4 linked regions of the Oryctolagus cuniculus genome follow. The protein of the gene in region 3 interacts with the protein of the main gene of each other region in a biochemical or structural test. Links are inferred from orthologs where the notes say so. Each region holds a gene or a part of one and is shown on either strand. Other genes may lie near its edges.

The links. The genes of interacting proteins can lie anywhere in the genome.
Region 1: the proteins of PLCG1 (region 3) and ITK form a complex in vitro, tested with the Homo sapiens proteins (2 studies listed by BioGRID, with this or other methods). The link is inferred for Oryctolagus cuniculus from reciprocal best matches to the Homo sapiens genes PLCG1 and ITK.
Region 2: the proteins of PLCG1 (region 3) and FGFR1 form a complex in vitro, tested with the Homo sapiens proteins (4 studies listed by BioGRID and IntAct, with this or other methods). The link is inferred for Oryctolagus cuniculus from reciprocal best matches to the Homo sapiens genes PLCG1 and FGFR1.
Region 4: the proteins of PLCG1 (region 3) and PDGFRB form a complex in vitro, tested with the Homo sapiens proteins (3 studies listed by BioGRID and IntAct, with this or other methods). The link is inferred for Oryctolagus cuniculus from reciprocal best matches to the Homo sapiens genes PLCG1 and PDGFRB.

The regions. Positions count from the first base shown.
Region 1 is NC_091437.1:44,206,791-44,211,695, forward strand, and holds part of ITK (tyrosine-protein kinase ITK/TSK), read left to right. Parts: intron 1-991; coding exon 992-1,163; intron 1,164-1,613; coding exon 1,614-1,830; intron 1,831-2,586; coding exon 2,587-2,651; intron 2,652-2,735; coding exon 2,736-2,854; intron 2,855-4,905. UniProt on the Homo sapiens protein: Tyrosine kinase that plays an essential role in regulation of the adaptive immune response. Regulates the development, function and differentiation of conventional T-cells and nonconventional NKT-cells.
Region 2 is NC_091433.1:88,159,939-88,164,843, forward strand, and holds part of FGFR1 (fibroblast growth factor receptor 1), read right to left. Parts: intron 4,622-4,905; coding exon 4,498-4,621; intron 3,414-4,497; coding exon 3,223-3,413; intron 2,222-3,222; coding exon 2,071-2,221; intron 1,336-2,070; coding exon of another isoform or gene 1,191-1,335; intron 1-1,190. UniProt on the Homo sapiens protein: Tyrosine-protein kinase that acts as a cell-surface receptor for fibroblast growth factors and plays an essential role in the regulation of embryonic development, cell proliferation, differentiation and migration.
Region 3 is NC_091442.1:17,798,747-17,804,193, forward strand, and holds the start of PLCG1 (1-phosphatidylinositol 4,5-bisphosphate phosphodiesterase gamma-1), read right to left. Parts: upstream 3,544-5,447; 5' UTR 3,528-3,543; intron 2,781-3,527; exon of another isoform or gene 2,655-2,780; intron 2,611-2,654; exon of another isoform or gene 2,596-2,610; intron 2,183-2,595; 5' UTR 2,074-2,182; coding exon 1,857-2,073; intron 1-1,856. UniProt on the Homo sapiens protein: Mediates the production of the second messenger molecules diacylglycerol (DAG) and inositol 1,4,5-trisphosphate (IP3). Plays an important role in the regulation of intracellular signaling cascades.
Region 4 is NC_091437.1:37,438,174-37,443,078, forward strand, and holds part of PDGFRB (platelet-derived growth factor receptor beta), read right to left. Parts: intron 4,617-4,905; coding exon 4,424-4,616; intron 3,962-4,423; coding exon 3,846-3,961; intron 2,818-3,845; coding exon 2,694-2,817; intron 2,237-2,693; coding exon 2,025-2,236; intron 555-2,024; coding exon 460-554; intron 1-459. UniProt on the Homo sapiens protein: Tyrosine-protein kinase that acts as a cell-surface receptor for homodimeric PDGFB and PDGFD and for heterodimers formed by PDGFA and PDGFB, and plays an essential role in the regulation of embryonic development, cell proliferation, survival, differentiation, chemotaxis and migration.

The sequences.
Region 1 (4,905 bases), on a different chromosome or scaffold from region 3:
TGGTATAAGTTTCATTTTGTGCCTACTAGGTTAGTGACTCTCAGATTTCACTGTGCTTTGAAATCCTCCAGAATGCTTAGGAAACACATTGGTCCTTGCACCCTCCCTCCCCCAACACTTATCAAAACACATCACCTGATGGTGGGGTCCTAGAGTGTGTATTCTAAATAAATGCCTTAGGTGACTTTAGCATAGGTGCTCGGGGGCAATACTTTGAGACACACTGCCTTTGGCTCTTCATCCAGAAGTATCTGGCCCATAGCAGGTACTCATTTATGTTTGCTGTTGAGTCTACTTCTTTGAGAACAAGCATCAAGAAAGGGTATTTCATCTTCATCCTTCTTCTAAAAATAAGGTTCTTCTAATAACCGTAGAATCCTAATGAGTCCCTGTTGGATGAAATCTCAGAAATTACCTGGCCAACCAATTCATTTTGTTGATAAGAAAACTGAGGCCCAGATTGCTTTTATTTGTTTATTGAGCACTCACTGAGAGTCTGTGCTAGCTCGTGTTTCTGCATGAGCCCTCTTTGAATCCACCCACATCTTTCATTCCCCCTCCACCAAGGCCTTGCAGAGTGCTACGTACATAGTGGATGCTCATGATGCACACATGAATGAGTCGATCATCGAGTCCTGTGAAATTTACTCTGTAGGAAACTTGACAATGCAAGATTATAATCAAGCGTAGAAGAAGTTGGAGCCTTGAAACAATCCTCCTTTCTTTCCTATTTTGATCACTGCCCTTCTCATCTTCCTTTCATGTAATCTGCCTACACATGGTTTTCATTATTTTAAGTGCATATCCTGTTTGGGAAGGGGTAATAATTTTATCTGTAACAGCTCTAAGTCTAGGACTTACACTCTTACCATCTTTGAGTTATACAGGTACTCAAAACAGGCATGACTTCTAGGTAGGGCTAGATAATCCCCTGGTAGCCCTATACCTCATCAGTTGCCTTCTCTGAAAAAACTCTCTTTCTGTGTTCCAGGAAAGTGGGTGATCGACCCCTCAGAGCTCACTTTTGTGCAGGAGATTGGCAGCGGGCAGTTTGGATTGGTGCATCTTGGTTACTGGCTCAACAAGGACAAGGTAGCCATTAAAACCATTCAGGAGGGAGCTATGTCAGAAGAGGACTTCATAGAGGAGGCTGAAGTCATGATGTGAGTCCCCAAAACAAGGACATGCAGACACCCTGGGAAGGATGCTCTGTGCTGGATTGTTTAAATACCATTCTGATGCCATGCTGTGCCACTTTCCTGCCCAAATCCCAGCAGTGGCTCCCTATGGCATAGAAAGTAAAATGAAACTCCCCACCGTGGTCCACAAAACCCTTGCTCACCTCCCAGTCTCATCACCTATCCAGCTTTCCTCCGGTCCGTGACGTGCCAGCCGCACTGGCCTCCATCAGTCCTCACATCCACCAGCAGACCCTTTGCCCCCCTCAGGTCTCAGCTCTAGTGACATGGTTTTGTTCAGGGGAGGGTATGGATTTAGTTTTCAAAACCATGAGTTGGATGAAGGGATCATCAACTATTTTGGTGCCATAAAATGTTCAGCACTTTTGGGATACTGAATTGGGGCCATTTCACCTCTTTCTTTTTTTCTTCCAGGAAACTCTCTCACCCCAAACTTGTCCAGCTCTACGGAGTGTGCCTGGAGCAGGCACCCATCTGTCTGGTGTTCGAGTTCATGGAGCACGGCTGCCTATCAGATTACCTGCGCACTCAGCGGGGGCTCTTTGCCACGGAGACCCTGCTGGGCATGTGCCTGGACGTGTGCGAGGGCATGGCCTACCTGGAAGAGGCGTGCGTCATCCACAGAGACCTGGTATGGGTGTGCTGTGGGGGAGCAGCTGCAGGTGCAGGATGAAGGGCACGGGCCGCTGCAACAGAGAGAAAGTCAGACCAGGGATGTATTAATGAGCAGACTGATCAAGGGCCATCTCCCTTCCTCTTTCAACTTCTCTCTACCTCTACCTACTTTGGGAGGGCCCAGTGGAAAAGAACTAAAACTGGCCTCCAATCCTGGCCCCACTGCTAGCTTGCCCTATTTGTGTTTCATTCTTCCAAACTGGAACACACAGACCCTCTGTCTTAGCTTCTGTGTGCTTCAGTTTCCTCCTGGTAAGATGTGGGCCACGGACAACACAGCTTTTCTTACAGTGTTATCCAACAGTCTGCCAGAATCTCATCCTGAAACCATCTGGAGACTCTCTGGGGGTTTTAACCTGCATCCCCTTGTGATTTGTAGGCACTTTAAAATTTGCAGCTCTAAGAGTTCTTCCAGTACAATATTACATTGCACCATGAACAAACTCTTGGTTAGACAACACCATGGATCTGTCTTCTAATTAGGAACTAGCTGTGGAGATAAATTTACCTATGCTGACAAAAGATCTTACATTGGACTTTCTCACTAACTTGCAGGAGGCATGTGGGAAACCCATTAACATTTGTGAAGCTCCCCAAAGCCCTTGTATAATAGCATTAGGAAAAACACAGCACGGTGATTGCAGAAGACTTCTTAACTGCTAATTACACACCAATGGTTTTCCTCCCCTTTTGTCTGCCTGTCCCTCTCTAGGCTGCCCGAAACTGTTTGGTGGGAGAAAACCAGGTCATCAAGGTGTCGGACTTCGGGATGACGAGGTAACGTGGGAGTGATGCCTGTTGAGTGGCAGGAGTGGGAGGCCGGTAGCAAGCACTGAGACCTCCCCCTCCCTCCCTTCCCAGGTTCGTCCTTGATGATCAGTACACGAGTTCCACAGGCACCAAGTTCCCAGTGAAGTGGGCCTCTCCAGAAGTCTTCTCCTTCAGTCGCTACAGCAGCAAGTCAGACGTGTGGTCCTTTGGTGAGTGTCACCCTGGCGCCACCCTGATGTGGCCTGGGACTCTTGGCCAAATGCTTTCTTCCTTCTTTCCTTCCCTCCCTCCCTCCCTCCCTCCCTCCCTCCCTCCCTCCTTTCCTTCCTTCCTTCCTTCCTTCCTTCCTTCCTTCCTTCCTTCCTTCCTTCCTTCTTTTTCAAGATTTATTTGTTTATTTGAAAGGCAGAGTCACAAAGAGAGAAGGAGAGATTGACAGAGAGAAAGATATCTTACAAATACTGGTTCACTCCCCCAAATGGCTGCAATGGTCAGGGCTAGGCCAGGCCAAAGCCAGGAGCCAGAAACTCCATCCAGGTCTCCTGTGTGGTTGGCAGGGGTCCAAGCACTTGGGCCATCTTCCACTGCTATCCTAGGTGCATTAGCAGGGAACTGGATTGGAAATGGAGCAGCAGGGACTTGAACCAGTGCTCAAATGGGATGCCTGCATTGCAGATGGCAGCTTTACCTGCTACGCCACAATGCCAGGCCCCCAGATATTTTCTTTGTCAATGGCAGACAACTCTATTTGTCTAAACCCTATGTTCTGAAGATATTCCACTCAGAGTCTGTGTAAGAACAACCCAGAAAAGTCTGAAGGAGCCCTTGTTACTGGATTTGAAATGGGGGCGGGGGGTGGAGACAAAGATGAAAATGGGAATAGGAGTCTTGTGGCAGCTACTGTGAGATCAGAATCCGGGGAGTCATGAGTTTGAATATGAGCACCTGAAGGGCAGGGACCATGCATTGGCGAGTTTTGTATTCCACATTTAGCCCTCAATAGGCATTTTACTCGCTTAATAGCAGTTCATTGAGCAACTACTTTGTGCCAGAGGCCAGTCTAAGCACTGAGGATGCAGTGGTGCCTAGGACAGAAAAGACTCCAATGCTTCTGAAACTAAATGTTAGGCGAGGAGAGGGGTGGGCAGCCAGTGTTGTGGTACAGGCAGGTTAAACTATTGCTCAAGAAACCTGTATTCCTTATCAGAGTCCTACCATGTACCCTGGGAGGCGGCAGATTATGGTTCAGGTATTCAGATCCCTGCTACGCATGTAGGAAACACAAATGGAGTTCCTGGCACCTGGCTTCTGTCAGGCCCAGTCCCACCTGTTGTGGGAATAGCCAGCAGAAGGAAGATTCATTCTTTCTCCCTCTCCCTCTCCCTCCTCTTCTTCCTCCCCTCCCCTCCCACTCCCCTCTTCCTTCCCCTACCCCCTCCCCCCATTTCCCTCTCTCCCTCTCAGTCAAATAATTAAATAAGCTTTAAAAGTTTTAGAGGAAAGCTGATTTCAGAATAAGCTAATCACTCTAAGCTAGCAGATATAAGGGAAAGTCAGGTAGGGAAATATTGGTCCTATGACTATAATAAAACGGCAGCAGAATGAGAGGGACCGGGATGGAGGAAGGGCCTGCTTTAGTGAGTGTGATCTGAGAAGCCTTTCCGAGGAGGGGCCTCTGGAGCAGAGACTTGAATCATGAGAGGAAGCGGTCAGTGCTCCAAGAGGCAAGGAAAGCAAGGACGAGAGCTCAGTCACGTCCATAGCACACAGAGCACTGCCCTAGGTTGAAGTGGGGAAACAGAGTGGGAAGGCCGTGGGAAGGAATTACAGTTTCTAAAAAGTGCAGACAGCATGCGTGAGTGAATGGTGCCGGTGTGGCAGGAAATGCTGAGTGCTGATGCTGGATTCTTCACGTCGTGCTGCGTTGTAGTGTGTGCACACTGCCTGGTTGAACAACCGGACAGTCTCTGATTTGGATGTCAAGAGGGGTAATACACTAGACGGGAACTTCCTAAGCATGGGTTTTGCCATTCTGTGTGAAGGAAGGCTTTGGGGAGGATTCACTAGTGGTAGAAGCCAGAGGGGAGCTGGCTAATTAAGTATTTTGGGAATATTAAAAATCTTCTTCAGGATTGAAAATCTTCTTCCGGATTTAGAATGTCCATTTCTAGGAGCCAAGTGGTTTCATTTGGAGTCCTTCTGATCTGTTCCTTCAAGCAGTACACTGCTCCCCAGCTATCCAGCTACCAGTCTGAAGCCA
Region 2 (4,905 bases), on a different chromosome or scaffold from region 3:
ACTCACTGCCACCCCCCAAAAGCCAAGCCAGTTCAGCCCACCTGTCTGTACCCGGGAGAGAACTCTCATCCCAGCCCCACCCTCGCGAGGGGCCCCTCTTCCCGTCACCGCTGTCTCCCCTCCTGATCCGCCCCTCAGAAACCCTGCAGCCAGCCACAGAGGTGGCGGGAGTTATCCCCACCCCAACCCAGAGAGAGGCACAGGACGAGGCCCAGGCCCAGGCCCTTGAGGACCTCAAGGCCTGACCGGCAGACGACAGAGCTGATGACAGAAGTGTTTCTGTTTTACTCCTTTCCCCAACGTCGAGAAACAAAAGACAAATGATGGGGTGCACAGACAGACGGGACGAAGACAGGACGACGATGAAAACAGAGAACACTTCTGTGCCTCAAGTGGAGGGGGGTGAGGACAGAAGGGGGCGGAGTCAGACAGGAGAGCAGATGGCACCCAGACCCACATGCGGGACACGCGGAGATGCAGCACACCCAGCTCCGGTCACCACCACCCTGCACAGCTGCAGGCTTCTTCCTTCCTGGCTCGACACAGACCTCCCGCCGGGGACAGCAGCCAGAGAGGATGCAGGGGGACTGCCATGGCCCCACTGAGGCTGCCTGAGGCAGGCCTGACTTAGAGCAGGTCGTGTTCACTTGTCTAGAAAGGTGGCTTCTCCCCAGCCAGAGGACCTGGCATGCAGGCTGGACAAGTGCCGCTCCCTACAAGCATTGAGCACCTCTGGGCTGAGGGCCTACATGCAGTGTGAAGAGCAGGGCTCTTTCTCAAACTTTTGGGATTGGTGCAAAAAAATAAAAAAATAAAATAAATAAATAAATCAGGTATCTCAGACACCCAGGGACCTAGGGGAGGCTGCAGGACCCAAGGACAGGAGAAGCCTGCCCTGCAGGAGAGCCCGGCTGCCGAAATGAATCCAGATCCCCAGCATGCATTGCATTGGCCACGGAGGGGACAGAGCCAGACGCAGGTGCACCAGTGGGAGGCTGCTGTTGTTCCCGCAAGACCAGGAAAGCTCCATAGCGAGCCTTCAATGCCACAGCCAACAGGGCGTGCGGCAGGCAAGAGCCCACTGCTCTCTCTCTCCCGGGGCTCTGTGTCTCCCCCGCCGGCCCCACAATGCATGCTCCCCCGTGCCCATGGCGAGGGCAGGACAGCGAGAGGAGCAGTGCAGTGTATACCTTCCAGAACGGTCAGCCATGCAGAGTGATGGGAGAGTCCGATAGAGTTACCCGCCAAGCACGTATACTCGCCCGCGTCCTCGAAGGAGACGTTCCGCAAGTGAAGCACCTCCATCTCTTTGTCAGTGGTGTTAACTCCGGCAGTCTAGGAAGAGACAACGGAAGCGGAATGGACAAGCGCGGGACGCGAGACCTCGAGGAGGCACCGAGACAGGGAAGGGTGGGGGAGTGCGCAGAGGGGAGGCCACCAGAGCGGGAGATGCTCCCCAGCGTCTCCTTTGCAACAAGGAACACATAGAAACCACCAGCAGCGGGACCTGTTAGAGAGGAAGAGAGTGCGGCCCTGGGGAGGAAGTCCAGCAGGTCACGGCTGGTTACGACCCGTCACCAGGCGCCGGCAGCCACTGGCCCATCCCAGCATGCGGGCAGCGGGCGGCATGGAGAAATGGGGCCCGGCCAGTAGGTGGCTGTTTGGTTTCAGGTCGAGATAAGTGGAGAGGGGGGCACACAGGAGGGATGGAAGGGTGCACGCACACACACACACACACATACGCAGCCTGCAGACCTGGGCCTCTGCAAGGGAACACCTGGCCCCTTTTCTGATCTGCAGCATCATTCATAGCACAGCGTGGCTGTGTCCCCAGGAGTCCACGCACAGCCACACACCCAGCCAGGGGACACACATAAGGCACAGAGGGAACCAGCAGATACCAACACAGAACTAAACCAAACCAGCCTCCCAGGCCGAGTATTTTTCCATGGCTCTGGGCACTAGGATACAGAAGATAAGAGGGAGAGTCCGGCGCTGGCTTCCCACTGCTCCAGGGCGTGGGGCCGACATGAAATTCCCAGCACAGGGTCCCATCCGTCTCCCCATTACCTTTTGCCACAGGTCTGGTGACAGTGAGCCACGCAGACTGGTTAGCTTCACCAATATAATTGGAAACCTTACACACATACTGCCCGCTCTGGGCCTCTGTCACATTGAACAAGGTCAGCACCTCTGCATCCGAGCTATTAATCCCCGAATGCTGGAACAAACCAACGACACACCAGTCAGTCGCGCAAGCGTGGCCACCTGGCCGTCCTCTGCTCCCATGTACCTTCCAGGCAAGGGACGCGGTCCAAGGGACTTTGCATCTCTCCTTGTTTTAGTGGAACAGAACAAGCTGACATCAAAAGCCCCAAGCATTTCATAAAGGAAAAGAAAACAAAACAAAAACACCCACTGTCCCAAATCTCATGTCCTGTCTGTGTGAAATCCATCCTCCAGGACTGGGGCAGGGACTGTAAATGGACACGGGGCCAAGCCCAAGGCCCCTGCCCCATTTCCTTCAGAACAATTTCTGCACCAGTAGCCAAGAGAAGGGACAGCTAGTAAATCTTCGGGACGGGCAGCCTGGGGAGGATGAGGTCTAACTGTGGGACAAGGTGGTAAACAGCTTTCCCAGCTTCTGGCCACTTCCTGTCGCAAGATCCACGGGAGATTTAGGCAATTACCTTCCCTGGATTAATGGAGCATTCAGGGACAATCAAAGTCTGGGAGTGAAAGGGAAAAGGAAGAAAATGCCATTACTCCTCACACTGCGTAGAATTTATATGCGGCACCTGCTTTCCCAAGCCTGCTTAGGCTGTGTGCCCTCATCCTCCATCGCATCTTCCAAGCAAGAGCAGAGCTCGGGGAGTAGGGCAGCGCCCATGAGGGGCTGGCTGCCAAGGCTTTGGTCCCGGGCAGTGAGAAAGCAGGGGACCTCACGCTCACCTGGAGGGCTCCCCTTTCTTTCTTTGGGGTGGGGGTGGGGTCTCGCCCTTTCAAAGCCTTCATCCCCCTCCAAGCAAAGTCACTGGCAAAGCTTTCACAACCAGCACCGCCCCCCTATTCCCAGCTCACCTCTACTCTGTCATCTCTCCCCACTCCTGGGAAAGGGGCTGGGTCCCGATCCCAGGCCCTGAGCCTGACCACAGAACCTGAGCCGCCAGGAGCTGGCGGGCTCTGTCCTGGCACCCCATCCCGAGCAGACAGGGTGATTACCTTCAAGATCTGGACGTAGGGCAGATTGTCTGGGCCGATCTTACTCCCGTTGACCTCGATGTGCTTTAGCCACTGGATGTGAGGCTGAGGGTCACTGTACACCTTACACATGAACTCCACATTGCTGCCCAGGGCCACCGTCTTGTTGGCAGGCAGCCCTGCCTGCAGGATGGGCCGGTGAGGCGACCGCTCTGTGGAAGAAAGGACACGTGTGGGCCTGCAGTGCCCCCTCGGCTTTCCCGGGGATGGGGCAGTGCATGTCCTGCATCTCCGCGGGGTCCCAGTGCCTCCACCCTGAGTCCTCTCTCGAGGCTCCATGGGAACTCCTCCTCGAGGCCACGCTCCATACTTATGCACAGTAATAAGTCTCCTGTAGCTTAAAGGACTTAACACCCTGAGATCCCAGCACAACGTGCTTCCCAGAGAGCTGCCGAGACCACTGCTGTTCAAAGTGTGGCCCAGGGACAGCAGCACCAGTGCCAACTGGGAGAGAGAGAGTCAGAAAGGCAGGATCTCAGAGCCTGGACCCCATCCCCCTGCTGAGACCACGTGGCCAGCACCAAGATGGGAGGCTGGCGGAGAGTCCCTGGGCCTCTCCATCTCCAGCGTGCTGGACTCTACCTCCAGAACGGGGATGGGAAGCCTCTGTTTCTGCCAAGGGCCACTTGGATATTTATAACGTCGTTCGTGGACCATATAAAATGATCCAACTTAACAATCAGCCTGCTATACATGTACTGAATTTCAAAGTCCCGTCTGGGATTGCCCTGGCAGGGCCAGACAAGGTGATTTTGTGGGCCTCGTACAGCCTGCGGGCTGGACGTTCCCACCCCTGCTCTAGGACCGGCTGCAGGAGCAGCCCTGAGAAGCATGGTGCTCATCCAGCAGCCGGCAGGGGCCTGGAATTCCACAGGCACCTGACCTCTGAGCCTCAGCAGGTACAGTGGGCGCGTGCCTGCCTGGTGGGGATGACAGCAGATTTGCAAGAGCCTTCATCAAGCCACAGCTACCACTGCACTCCCTGTAACAGCCCAACAACCAGTCACGTCTTTCAGGGTAGACTGTCAACAGTGCTTTCCAGTTCATGGCGACATTGGCTTTGGGACACATTCTCACCTAATGCTCTTTGGTTTGCAGATAGGGAAAAGTAAAGTGCAAACGGAGGAGCTGACCCGCTCAAGGTGACAAGGCAAGTGCAATCCTGACGCCATCCCGGGAGTCCCTGATGCCCGCTCCATACCCTAAGCACCTTAGGTCTGCGCCACCACCTCTTACCCACGACGTCCAGTTGGTAGGTGTGGTTGATGCTGCCGTACTCGTTCTCCACAATGCAAGTGTAGTTGCCCTTATCGGAGGGAACCACGGAGTCCATGATGATGCTCCAGGTGGCATAGCGGACCTGTGGGGAACAGGCAAAGGGCTCCACTGAGGGTCTGGAGGAAAATGCAGGCAGAGGCCATGGGGCCGTGTTGGTGCCTGTGGGACTGCCTCTCTCAGCTCCCCCATCAGAACTGCAGAGTAGCTGGGAGGAGGAACAGAGTACGTGGTGCTCAGCCCAGGTCCACTCAAACGAGCACGTCCATTAAACTGGCAGATGAGCGTGAGCCTTAGAAGTCTTCCCCGTGGTGCTCAAGGCCAGCCATGGTCTAACCAAGCTGTCTTCTGCAAACTCTCCCAAATTAT
Region 3 (5,447 bases):
GACCCCCATCCTCCTTCCTTCCTGTACCCTCACCCCCTCCTACAGCCACACTCCAAGCCCCTCAACCTTCCCTAGGAGGGCAGCCACAGTCTTATTATTAACAGGTCAGTTTATTAAACATCTACAATGTATCAACACATTTGCAATGTGTAGGTATTGATGTTTTACATCAATCATCTAATTTAGTCCCCAGTGCAACCAGTTATGATTGCTGTATTATTACCTCCATTTTACAGATGGGCAAAACAAGGTTCAGAAAAGGTTATATAACTAGGCGAGGAGTATACAACCAACACACAGGCTTCAAATCCAGACCTGCCTTCAAACACTGTGCTACAATTATTGCCTGCTGGTCCCCAACATGGTTTAAAAAATACCAAGCAATCTCTATCTGGGAAGCTCCTGCCACCAACTCAGCACAGGGAGTATCACAAAGCAAGGGTGGACCTGGAGTATGATGTTCCCAGAACTGTCCCAGCTCTTTGCAACCTGTTCTTGCTCCACTTCAGAATCCAGTCTCTCAAATCACTAAAATGTTCTTCCAGTGGCTGACAGGGCACTGAGGAAGGCAGCTGCCATTTCTTGGTTCAGCAGCTCTATCAGATCTGAAGTTTGTAGTTGAGGACGGCTGCTACCACAACACCTTCCTTCCTCCCAATCTCCTCACTCATCTACACGCATGCACACCAGACCCAAGAACCTCGGTGGGAGCCTCTCCAGGGCTGTCGCTTCCTGACCCCTTTCTCCACATGCCCCTGGTTCTAGTACCCATCTCTGGGGGGTCCTTGGAGGAAACAACCCACAGCCTGGGGTTACAGAAACATCATCTGTTCACACAGGAAGGCGAGAGAGAAAGGAGGGCAGAGCTGAGTGCCCATCCGGCCACAGCTCAGGCATGCAGTGAGTGCAGTAACACACTGAAAGATCTGGGGTTTTTTCAAAATCCCCTAACCCCCTCCTCCCACTAGAGACCTGCGCAAAAGCAGCCAAGCTCAGGCCTGGCAAGGCACAGAGGCAGGAAACCAAGGGGGGAGCCACTGTCGGCTCCCTGTGGCCACCGGACACAGGACACAAAGGGCTAGACCCCAAACAGGCTACCCGCTCTGAGACAGGAGTACCTGACGCCAAGGCACTTGGACTGGCCTGTCTGGGGCCAAGCTTCAGGTGGGTGCTTCCAAGTGCAAGGGCACAGCCCCTTTACCCAAGAGCCTGCCCCGGCTTTGGGCACCGGCATAGGCCTCCAAAAACTCAGCTTTGGGACAAAAGCAGCAGCAAGTAAAAGCGGCCTTTCTCAGGCTTCGCCAAGACAGAAAGGACCACCTTCTTCTCCCTCCCCAAGCAGATGAGCAGGCCTAGCCCTGTTTCAAAACCAGCCCTACCTCAACATCTGCCTAATTTTTACCCAGGGAACCCAAAGGTTCCCTTGCAATGAAGAGCCCAGCCTTGGGACCCAGGGAATCTCGCACCGCTCTTTCTGCAGAGGGGGAGGGCAGTGACCCTCGGGCCCCGATCGCGGGCAGGGTGGGCGCAGCTTGGCTCCCCTCGCCCGCCACCGCCGCTCCTTCCCGGGACTGGAGGGGCTCGACGCCTGCCCCGCTGGACTCCAGTCCGCCAGGATTTTTTAGGCCTCAGGGAAAGACGTCTGGAGGAGTCCCCCCAGCCGGGGGAGGGGGCGTCCTATCAGGTGACCGAGGATTTGGATGATCCCCGCCCCCCAGTGAGCACCGGAGCCGAGGCGGGGGCGGGTCCAGTGGGGGTGGGGAGAGCCCAAAGTTTGCCCAAGTCGCCAGGGAGGGCCGCGGCCGCGCGCGCCTCGCCAGCCCCGCGCGCGCAGCGGGCCCGGGGGCGGCACTTACTGGCCCCCTCGATCTTGTCGGCGCCGCGGCTCCACGTGATCTGGCGCGTCTCCAGTTTGACCTGGAAGGTCTTCCGCTCGGGCCGCTGCGACTTCTTGGAGTAGAACAAAGTCATGACGGTGCCCACCTCGAGGCTGCGGCAGAGGTGCAGCACCTCGGCTTCCGAGGGCGCGCCGGGAGCGCAGCCATTGGCGCAAGGGGACGCGGCGCCCGCCATGGCTCCGACGCTGGGGGCGGCGGCGGCGGCACAAGCCGGAGGAGCCGGGAGCAGGAGGAGGAGGAGGCGGCAGCTGAGGCGGCCGGCGACCGGGACCCGGCGGCGGCTCCTGCGGGCGGACACGGGGCGGAGCCTAAACACCGAAGGCGGGGCGGCCCGAGGATCCGCCCCGCCCGCGCGCCAGGAACAAAGGCGCCCGCGCGCCCGTGGGGAGGACCCCCGCCCCCGGCCCACCGCGCCTGCGCCCCGCGACCCCCGGCCAGGCCGCAAGCGGGGGCGCGGGGCGCCATGGTACGCCCCGCTCTCAAGCAATCCGTCCGTCGCTCGGCCCCGCAGAGCTTCCTCACGCGACCCCGGCAGGGCGCGGGGCCTCCACCGGCCCCGTCACGCACGGCAGCCCCGCCCACAGGCTGCAGGCCCGCGACCGACCGGCCCGTCAGTCAGGCGCTCGTGCACGCGAAGCCACCCGCCCACTGTCCCGCACAGGCCCGACCGCAGCCTCCGCGCCGCCCGCACAGCCACCTGGAGAAGATGTGAGGGTGCGACGCGCCCCTCGGGTCCGCCTGGCCAAACCCAATTACCTGGGCGAATTGCCCGGCGGAGGGAACCGGGCCAGGCCGGGCCGCCTCACACCCGCGGCGGCGGCGGCGGCGGCGGCGGCGGCGGAGGCGGGTTCTCCGCGCGCCCTCTTCGGGGAGGAGTGGGGGCGGGGCATCCCGAGGATTGGTCAGCGGGCTCTGATGGACAGCGTTCTGTCCCGCCCCCTCCCCCTGCCCGCGCAGAGCTGGCCCACAGGCCGCCCTTGCGAAGGCGAACCCCACGTCCGTCCTGCCCTTGCGTAGGTGCCCTTCCTCGGAGAAGCGCTTCGGGCGTGAGCATCCCCCGCAGGGCTCGTTAAACCCGCGCCCGCGCTGTCTGGAGACCTGACCTGTAGCCCCCAGCGGCCCTGTCTCTCTCCCTCTCTTGGCGTTGCCCGTTGCTCCTCGCCCTCGTTCCCCACGAGGCAGGACGCAGGTCGGATCCGTGAGGCGGGCTCAGGCCCTGCCTCACACCCCTCCTGCAGGTGCGCTCCTGAACTTTGGTTTTCCTGACCTCGCTCTGGACTCTGTCCTGGGCCAGTACCCATAGCGACCTGACTTCACGCAGTGCGCCGGTACCAGTGCCTCCACCTCCACGTCCCACTGTCCGCACCACGTTGCTACCTAATGCGGCTGCCTCACCCACACTCCCACACGGCTCCCCAGCCTTCGCTTTCTCAGAACATGGCACCAAACTCCTCTCGATTGCATAAGCCAAAAACCTGGCCAGTAACCTCGATTCCTCTGTCTGCCCCAGGTCAGATCCACCGAGGCCTGTTCACTTTGCCTGCAAGCCCACCAGGCCGTGGCCTCTCTCACCTGCGTCTGTTCTCCATGTTTAAATCTTTTAAAAGAAATAAAACCATGATCACCTACCTCTGGTCTACTATTCTCCCGCCCTGAGTGGCACACAGCAGGTTCTGATGGGCCTGGCCCCTTCCTATCTCCTGGCTTCTTCACTCTCTCTCCTCCCGTCAGCAGGCTTCTGTCTGGAATCATTCACCCTCTTCGTCTTCCTGAATGCTGTGAAAACTGAGGACATCTGCGGTCATGGGGAGGCATGCCTGACACGTGTTGCGCCAGGTGCTGCATTTCAGAGAGGCGCGGCCCAGCAGAGCTTTCCGGAGAAAGATCCAGGTGAGTTGGGATTTGTGAGGACAGGAGAGCATGTGTTCAGGCAACCGCACCCAGTACTAGGTGTGTGGAGCTGCCTCTGACTATCTCGCGGTGGTAGTAACTTGCGTGTGTGTGCATGCTCCTGCACTTTTGGTTCCTTCAAGTGTGGCCCCTAAGGCTCACAGCACTAGGCTCCTGTCAACTAAGGGCCAGCGGGGGAGCTGAGATGGACTGCCACCTAGTGACAAGCCTTTGAAGTGGGAGGCAGGCTGATCCTGATCACACGTGGTCCTCATAATCACCCTCTAATCAGGGACACTGGTCCCCAGTTTACTGATGAGGACGTTCAGAGAAGTTCTACATGACTTACCGAGCGGCCACGTCACTCACAACTGGGGACTTGAACCTATCCACCTCTGTTTTCTGCCTCACAAGAGGGCCTCTGGCTTAGGTAAGTCCTGGTGGTGAGCAGTCAGTGGGCATGAGGCTAGATGGCTACTGGCACAGGGAACCTGGCAGAACATTAGTGGTCAGAGCGTGGCTTGTACTCAAAGTGCCGCTGTCGCTGAGCTGCGAAGCGTGAGGAGAACAGGAGATCCAGCCCAGCCCCTCGGGGGATTAACAGACCTTAAACAAATAAGCACTCTGTTCTGTAAAGACACTTGTGATGAGGGCTCCAGAGGAAAAGAACAGATGAAAGAAAACACAGTGAGGTTGCCAGTGCGGCAGCTCACTAGGCTAATCCTCCGCCTGCGGCGCTGGCACACCGGGTTCTAGTCCCGGTCGGGGCGCCAGATTCTGTCCCGGTTGCTCCTCTTCCAGTCCAGCTCTCTGCTGTGTCCCGGGAAGGCAGTGGAGGGTGGCCCAGGTGCTTGGGCTCTGCACCCGCATGGGAGACCAGGAGGAAGCACCTGGCTCCTGAATCGGCGCAGCATGCCAGCCATAGCAGCCATTTGGGGGGGTGAACCAACAGAAGGAAGACCTTTCTCTCTGTCTCTCTCTCTCTTACTAACTCTGCCTGTTTAAAAAAAAAGAAGAAGAAGAAAAGAAAACACAGTGAGGAGGCCTCCCTGTGGCTCCGCAGAGGTCAGATGGGAAGGAGTAGGTGGCTGGGTGAGCTGTTAAAAGTTGATTGGAGGAAGGTACTTTCCAGGCAGGAGGCCAGAAAGAGGTGGTTAAGTTTAGTGAAGGCTGGAGTTTCTTCAGTGAAGGAGAGTGTGTGGGGGAGGGGTGAGCAGTGAGTAGAGCCCCTCCCTGCCTGTCTGGTCTTGTCCATTTTCCTATGAGGCACCTAAGTGCTGCAGTTCTTTCCAAGCTTCCTGTGCCAACTGCAGCGACCTACAGGCTGTGATGCGCCTTTGAAATAGGTTCCTCTCTTCTGGGAGCTTCCCAACATGTAGCCCCAGGCTTCCGTGCCTTCACTCTTGCCTCTGTGGCAGGACCCCAGGGGCTGCCAACAGGAGCCTGAGTTTTCAGTCTGCTGCCAGACTTTAGTCACTGAACAGGGTCCCATTTTCCTCTTGGGACTTCTGGGCCAGCATCCCAGGGCTCAGGTGCCTCTTGCCATCAGAGGAGGTTCAGGAAAAGCAGGGCACACAAAGGGTGTGGCTGGGGTGTGGGCTTCCCCCAGCTCAGCATCTCTCTGGGTGTGTGGGTGTTGCTGGCAGTGCCTGCAGCTGC
Region 4 (4,905 bases), on a different chromosome or scaffold from region 3:
CAGGCTGGGTCAGGCAGAGCACGAATCTCATGGCAGGATGTTGGGATCACAGCACCGGACCGGGACGAGAGGGTCGGGAACTGTACACCGCTGGCATCACAGAGCGGTGACAGGTTGGAACAGACACGAAAGTCAGGAGCAGCACAGTGCTCCTCAGTGGACCCAGGTGTGTCCATGCGGGGAGCCCGAAGAACCCTGAAGCCAGTGCACTGCGGCTGGGATGGGAGGGACGATGCCGGAGCAGGGGGCCTGGGGCGCAGTCGCAGCCGGAAGTCCCGGATAGCCCAGGCTGCTGGGGGTGGAGGCGGCTCAGACGCCCAGCGTCATTCTCTATAAATCCCCACCTGAGCCCCAGGCTGCGCCCCGCATGCGGTCAACTCAAGCAGGGTTCCAGGAGGGCGCGAGGGCGGGGGAGCCCCTGCAGAAGGGGGCTCCTGGCTGGGGGTGGGGAGCACTCACCTTCTGCCAGATCATGATGAGGATGATGAGGGAGATGATCGTGAGCACCACCAAGGCCAGGATGGCCGAGATCACCACCACTTTGAAGGGCAGCGCTGGGGGCAGGGAGCAGAGCAGGCCCTGGGTAAGCAGGGCCCGGGCAGCTGCCTCCTTCACTCCACCGACCGCTGGCCTCACAGGTCACCTGTCCTCACTTCCCACCCCTCTGTGACCCTGCCCAGCGGCCCACCAGGTCAGCCTCTCCGTCCTGGCTCTGGTCACGTCTTTAGCTTCCCCGGCAGACACCCCATACCTCCCAGCAATGACCCCAGCTCTCTGCCGGCCTCACCACCTTCTGCCCGTGCCAGGGCCAAACCCCTTGCCTTCATCCTGTCCACTGCCTGGGCCTGCCATGCGGCCTGGGCCACTCTCACTTCTCTGAAACCATGCCTGAGTGGACCTGAGCTGAGTTCCATGCCTGACTCAGTGGCCAATGGCCTGCGGGGGCAGCCCTGAGGGGCAGGAAGCTGCGCCTCCTGCCCAGTTCCACCCAGGAGCATGGGGTGGGGGTGGGCTGGGAAGGGAGGTCGGGCAATGACAAGTGCTGTGAAGTGCGTCCTCAGGGTTACCTCACTAAGCACACAGGCCCCACACTGGGACCCCCAAGCCAGAGTCTCCTTCACAGCTTTGCTGCACACGTCCTCACCCCACCCCCATCCACCTGGGACAGACTCTCCCCTGCCCTGCCCACTGGGCACCCTGGAAACTCTCCCTCCCACCTGCCCTTCTCTACCCCCCAGAGAGCCCTGTCTTGCCTCCCCAGGGTCTCCTCCCCACACTTCCTGCTCAGGGTCCCTGGCCCATGTCACTTGTACCAGCCACACCTCCATCCTAGGAAGCAAGCCCCCATCTCTCTGGGAGCCCACTCTGAGTAAGGAAGGGGAGCCTTCCTCCAGCCACCCCAGCTGTCCCTGGTTGGTGCATGGCATCCCCTCCGGGCACCACACTACAGCTTCACCTCTGCTTTTGCTCAGAGCTGGTCTATGGGCCGCTGTCTACACTGTCCGACCACACAGCAGCTGGCCCAGGGATATGTGTGCCCACAGGGAGCATGAGGGTGATGCTGGAAGTAGGAAACCCACCCACGCACCACAGGGCAGGGGCCAGGAGGCAGGTCTGTGCACACACAGGCACGTGCATGGACAAGTCCAGGGGCCTGCCCACCCAGGGACTAGGCATGCTCACATCACGCTCACATACACGCCCTCAGCGGCTACCCAGACCACCAGGCATCCAAGTCCAGGCTCCCAGATGCACCTGCCAGCTTCACCCGCGTCTCTGGGGATCAGGCACCTCTCAGAACCCAGTTCACAGATCCCTATGTGCCAGGCATGTGGCACAGGTGCACAGACGGGTTACACGTGCCACACACATATAGTTTCGTTCACATCCAGTTTATAGACCTGTGTTTGCACACATGTGTGTGCCCTGACCAGTTTCACAGTGCTCTGGGCTGCTACGGACGCCTGGGCACAGTCACCAGGAATGCAGGGGCGTGGCGGGGGGAGGGACGCCGGCGGACTCACAATGCGGCACCACGGTGACCTCCTTGGTGTCGTAGTCACGCAGGTTGCGCAGCACACAGCGCACCGACAGCGGCTGATCCACGTGGCGCAGGCGCAGTGTGCTCACCACCTCAAACTCCTGCTCCTCCGCCCAGTACGTCACGTTGGTCTCTAGCTGGCTCTCGTCCTCGGAGCGGTTCCCCAGCGGCGTGGGCGGCAGCTCGGACGGGCACCTGCAGGCAGAGCCGTCAAGTGGTGGGGGAAGCAAGGAGGGCTTGTCCAGTCCCCTGATGCCTCCCTCTGCCCGGGCTTCGGCGCCGTGCTCCCTCGAATGACCAGCAGGGGGCGATCCCATTCCACAACGGAAAACCCCAGGTTGTGAGATCCACTCCACTCATTTGCCTCCAGGGTCTCACAGCTGGGGGCCGTGTCAGGGGTAGAGGCAGAACCTGAATTGAACCCTGCCTCTCTCTATCACGCGAGAACCACCCTGATCAAGTGAGGTCCCCGGGGCACTCAGGGATCAAGGTCAGGAGAAGCCACAATTCGGGTCATGCAGTGTCTGAGGAGGTGGCAGGCTGGCCTTCCAGGATGTGGCTGTAGCCTGGAGCAGCGTTTGCAGAGGAGAGGGCTGGACTAGACACGGGCTGTGGGTGCCCAGGAGACCGAGCCCGGCCGGGGTGGGCTCACCTTTTCAGGTCTCTGCAGGTAAACCAGGTGACATTCGGCTGAGGCATGCCCCGGCCACGACAGCGAACTATCTGCTCCCCACTGGCGAGGTGGCTCTCGCTCAGCTCCAGCACACGGACAGGGACTGTGGGGAGAGGGGACAGGGCCAGGAAGTGTGGGGTCAGCAGGAAGGGACTGGCCAGGGAGGACCTGCTCAGGTCCCCTGGGGGTTGGGGGGGACAGGGAGGCAAACATTAAAAGCAGGTGAACACGGACTACCAGGAAGGACCCCCCTCCAGGGAGCTTCAAAGGGCAAGCCTCAGGAGGGGCTGCTGGCTGCTGTGTCTTTAACGCCTCTCTGAGACTTGCTAATCTTCCCTTTTAACAAGAAGGGAGCTGGGGTGGCCACACTCACAAAGCTGGCGAGTAATCGCATTGTTTTGTTTCCTCTGAGTTTATTTTAGTGGCTGCCTTAGACTCAGGACATGTGACGCTGATTTTCCATCTACAATTGGGAGGTTATATTTTGTCTTTCAAAATAAGCTTATTTTGGGCGAGCCGATTGACGAAATACGGAGTCAGGATCGTGTCATCCGTCAGCTCGGAACCCTGGGAAGGCTCTTCATCTGGGCTGTGGTGAAGCTGGACCGGGCCCTCAGGGACCCGCCCTCTGCCCACCCCCCACTGCCTCCCTGCTCTCTGACCTCCCCTCCCTCTGTTCTGGCCACTCAGGCCTTTCTGCCATGGCTCTGGCCTCTGCCCTGCCTTGCACCCAACATCCGCTTGGCCAATTCCCTCACAGTCTTCAAGTCGTAGAGCAGACGGCACCTCCCCCGTGAGGCCCACCCTGCTCACCACCCTCCTGAGCCTGACTCTGCTTTTTTCCCCTTGTTACCTTCTAACCTACAGAACTAGCCCGCAGCTCCCCCTACTGTACAACGAGTGTGATGCAAGGAGGGAAACTTGTGACCTTGGTGCATGAATGCCTGAGGTTTTAGAAATACCCATCTAGCCAAGGCCACCTTGGACAGGTGGGGAAACCGAGGCCCAGGGAGAGGACACCCCTGGATCAGAGGGCCACAGGCAGGGTCCCAGGACGCAGTCTCCTGGGTTCCAGCTTCCTGCGTGGATGCGGGAAGACGCAGCAGGGAAGGGGGCAGGGGTGGCCCTCACCGTTGACCTGCAGCTGGAAGGAGAGCTGTGCCTCGGCGTCCTCGTGGAAAGCCCGCATGGTGTACCTGCCCGCCTCCGCCACCTTCACCCGCACCAGCGTCAGTTCTGACACGTACCTGGGGAGCAGCGCAGGCCGGGAGAGCCAGCTGTCAGAGCAGGAAGGGCTCCTCCAGCCCCCGCCCCCTGCTCCCCTGTACAAGCAGGAGAAACAAGGCCCTGGGAGTCGCACAGGTGTCCCAGGCGAGGCCCGGGAGGGACTGGGAGTGGGCAGGGAGGCCCTATTCCACCCCCTTCCTGAGGGTCTGGCATGCTTTATCCCCACTGGTATCCGCCAGTATCTAGCTCGGGCTTCCTAGGTAGCAGGGCCAAGCTTCCTAGGTAGCGGCTCGGGCCCGTTCCTGTGGCTACCACCTGCAGCTCTGCTCATCACAAGTGTCTGAGTGACCATCTGGCTGGCACCATGTCCCCCCGCTGGACCAGATGCTCAAGGAAGGATGGACCCTGCTCTGGTTGCGCCGCAGCCTCAGCGCCCCCCAGGGTGCCGGAGGTGGGCCTGGGTGCGCCAAGTGGCTGCTCACCGGGTCTCAGACACATTGCGTGTGGACAGGGCGATCTCGCCGGCGCTGGAGTCACCCAGGGTGCGGTTGTCCTTGAACCACAGGACGGTGGGCGGAGGGTAGGCCTCGAACACCACCTGCAGCGTACGGCTCCGGTGCAGGTCGGCGAACTGCAGCGCGCCCAGCTCTCCCAGCAGCCGCACGTAGCCGCTCTCTGCAAGGGGCGGGCCGTCAGGGCGGGGCCATGCCCGGCCACCAATGGGGCAGTGCCTACCGGGGGCGGGGTATCAAGTGGGCGCCCAAGGAGCCCCGCCTTCTGGGGGCGGGGTATCAAGTGGGTGCCCAAGGAGCCCCGCCTTCTGGGGGCGGAGCTTCAGACTTTAGAGCCAAAGGAGCCAGGTGCAAGTTGGGGTTGGGCCAACAGCAAGTGCTGAATTTACGGCTGTTGGTGTGGGGCCCAGCTTTGAGGCTGGGCTTGGAGTTGGAGTTCTGTGTCTGGGCTT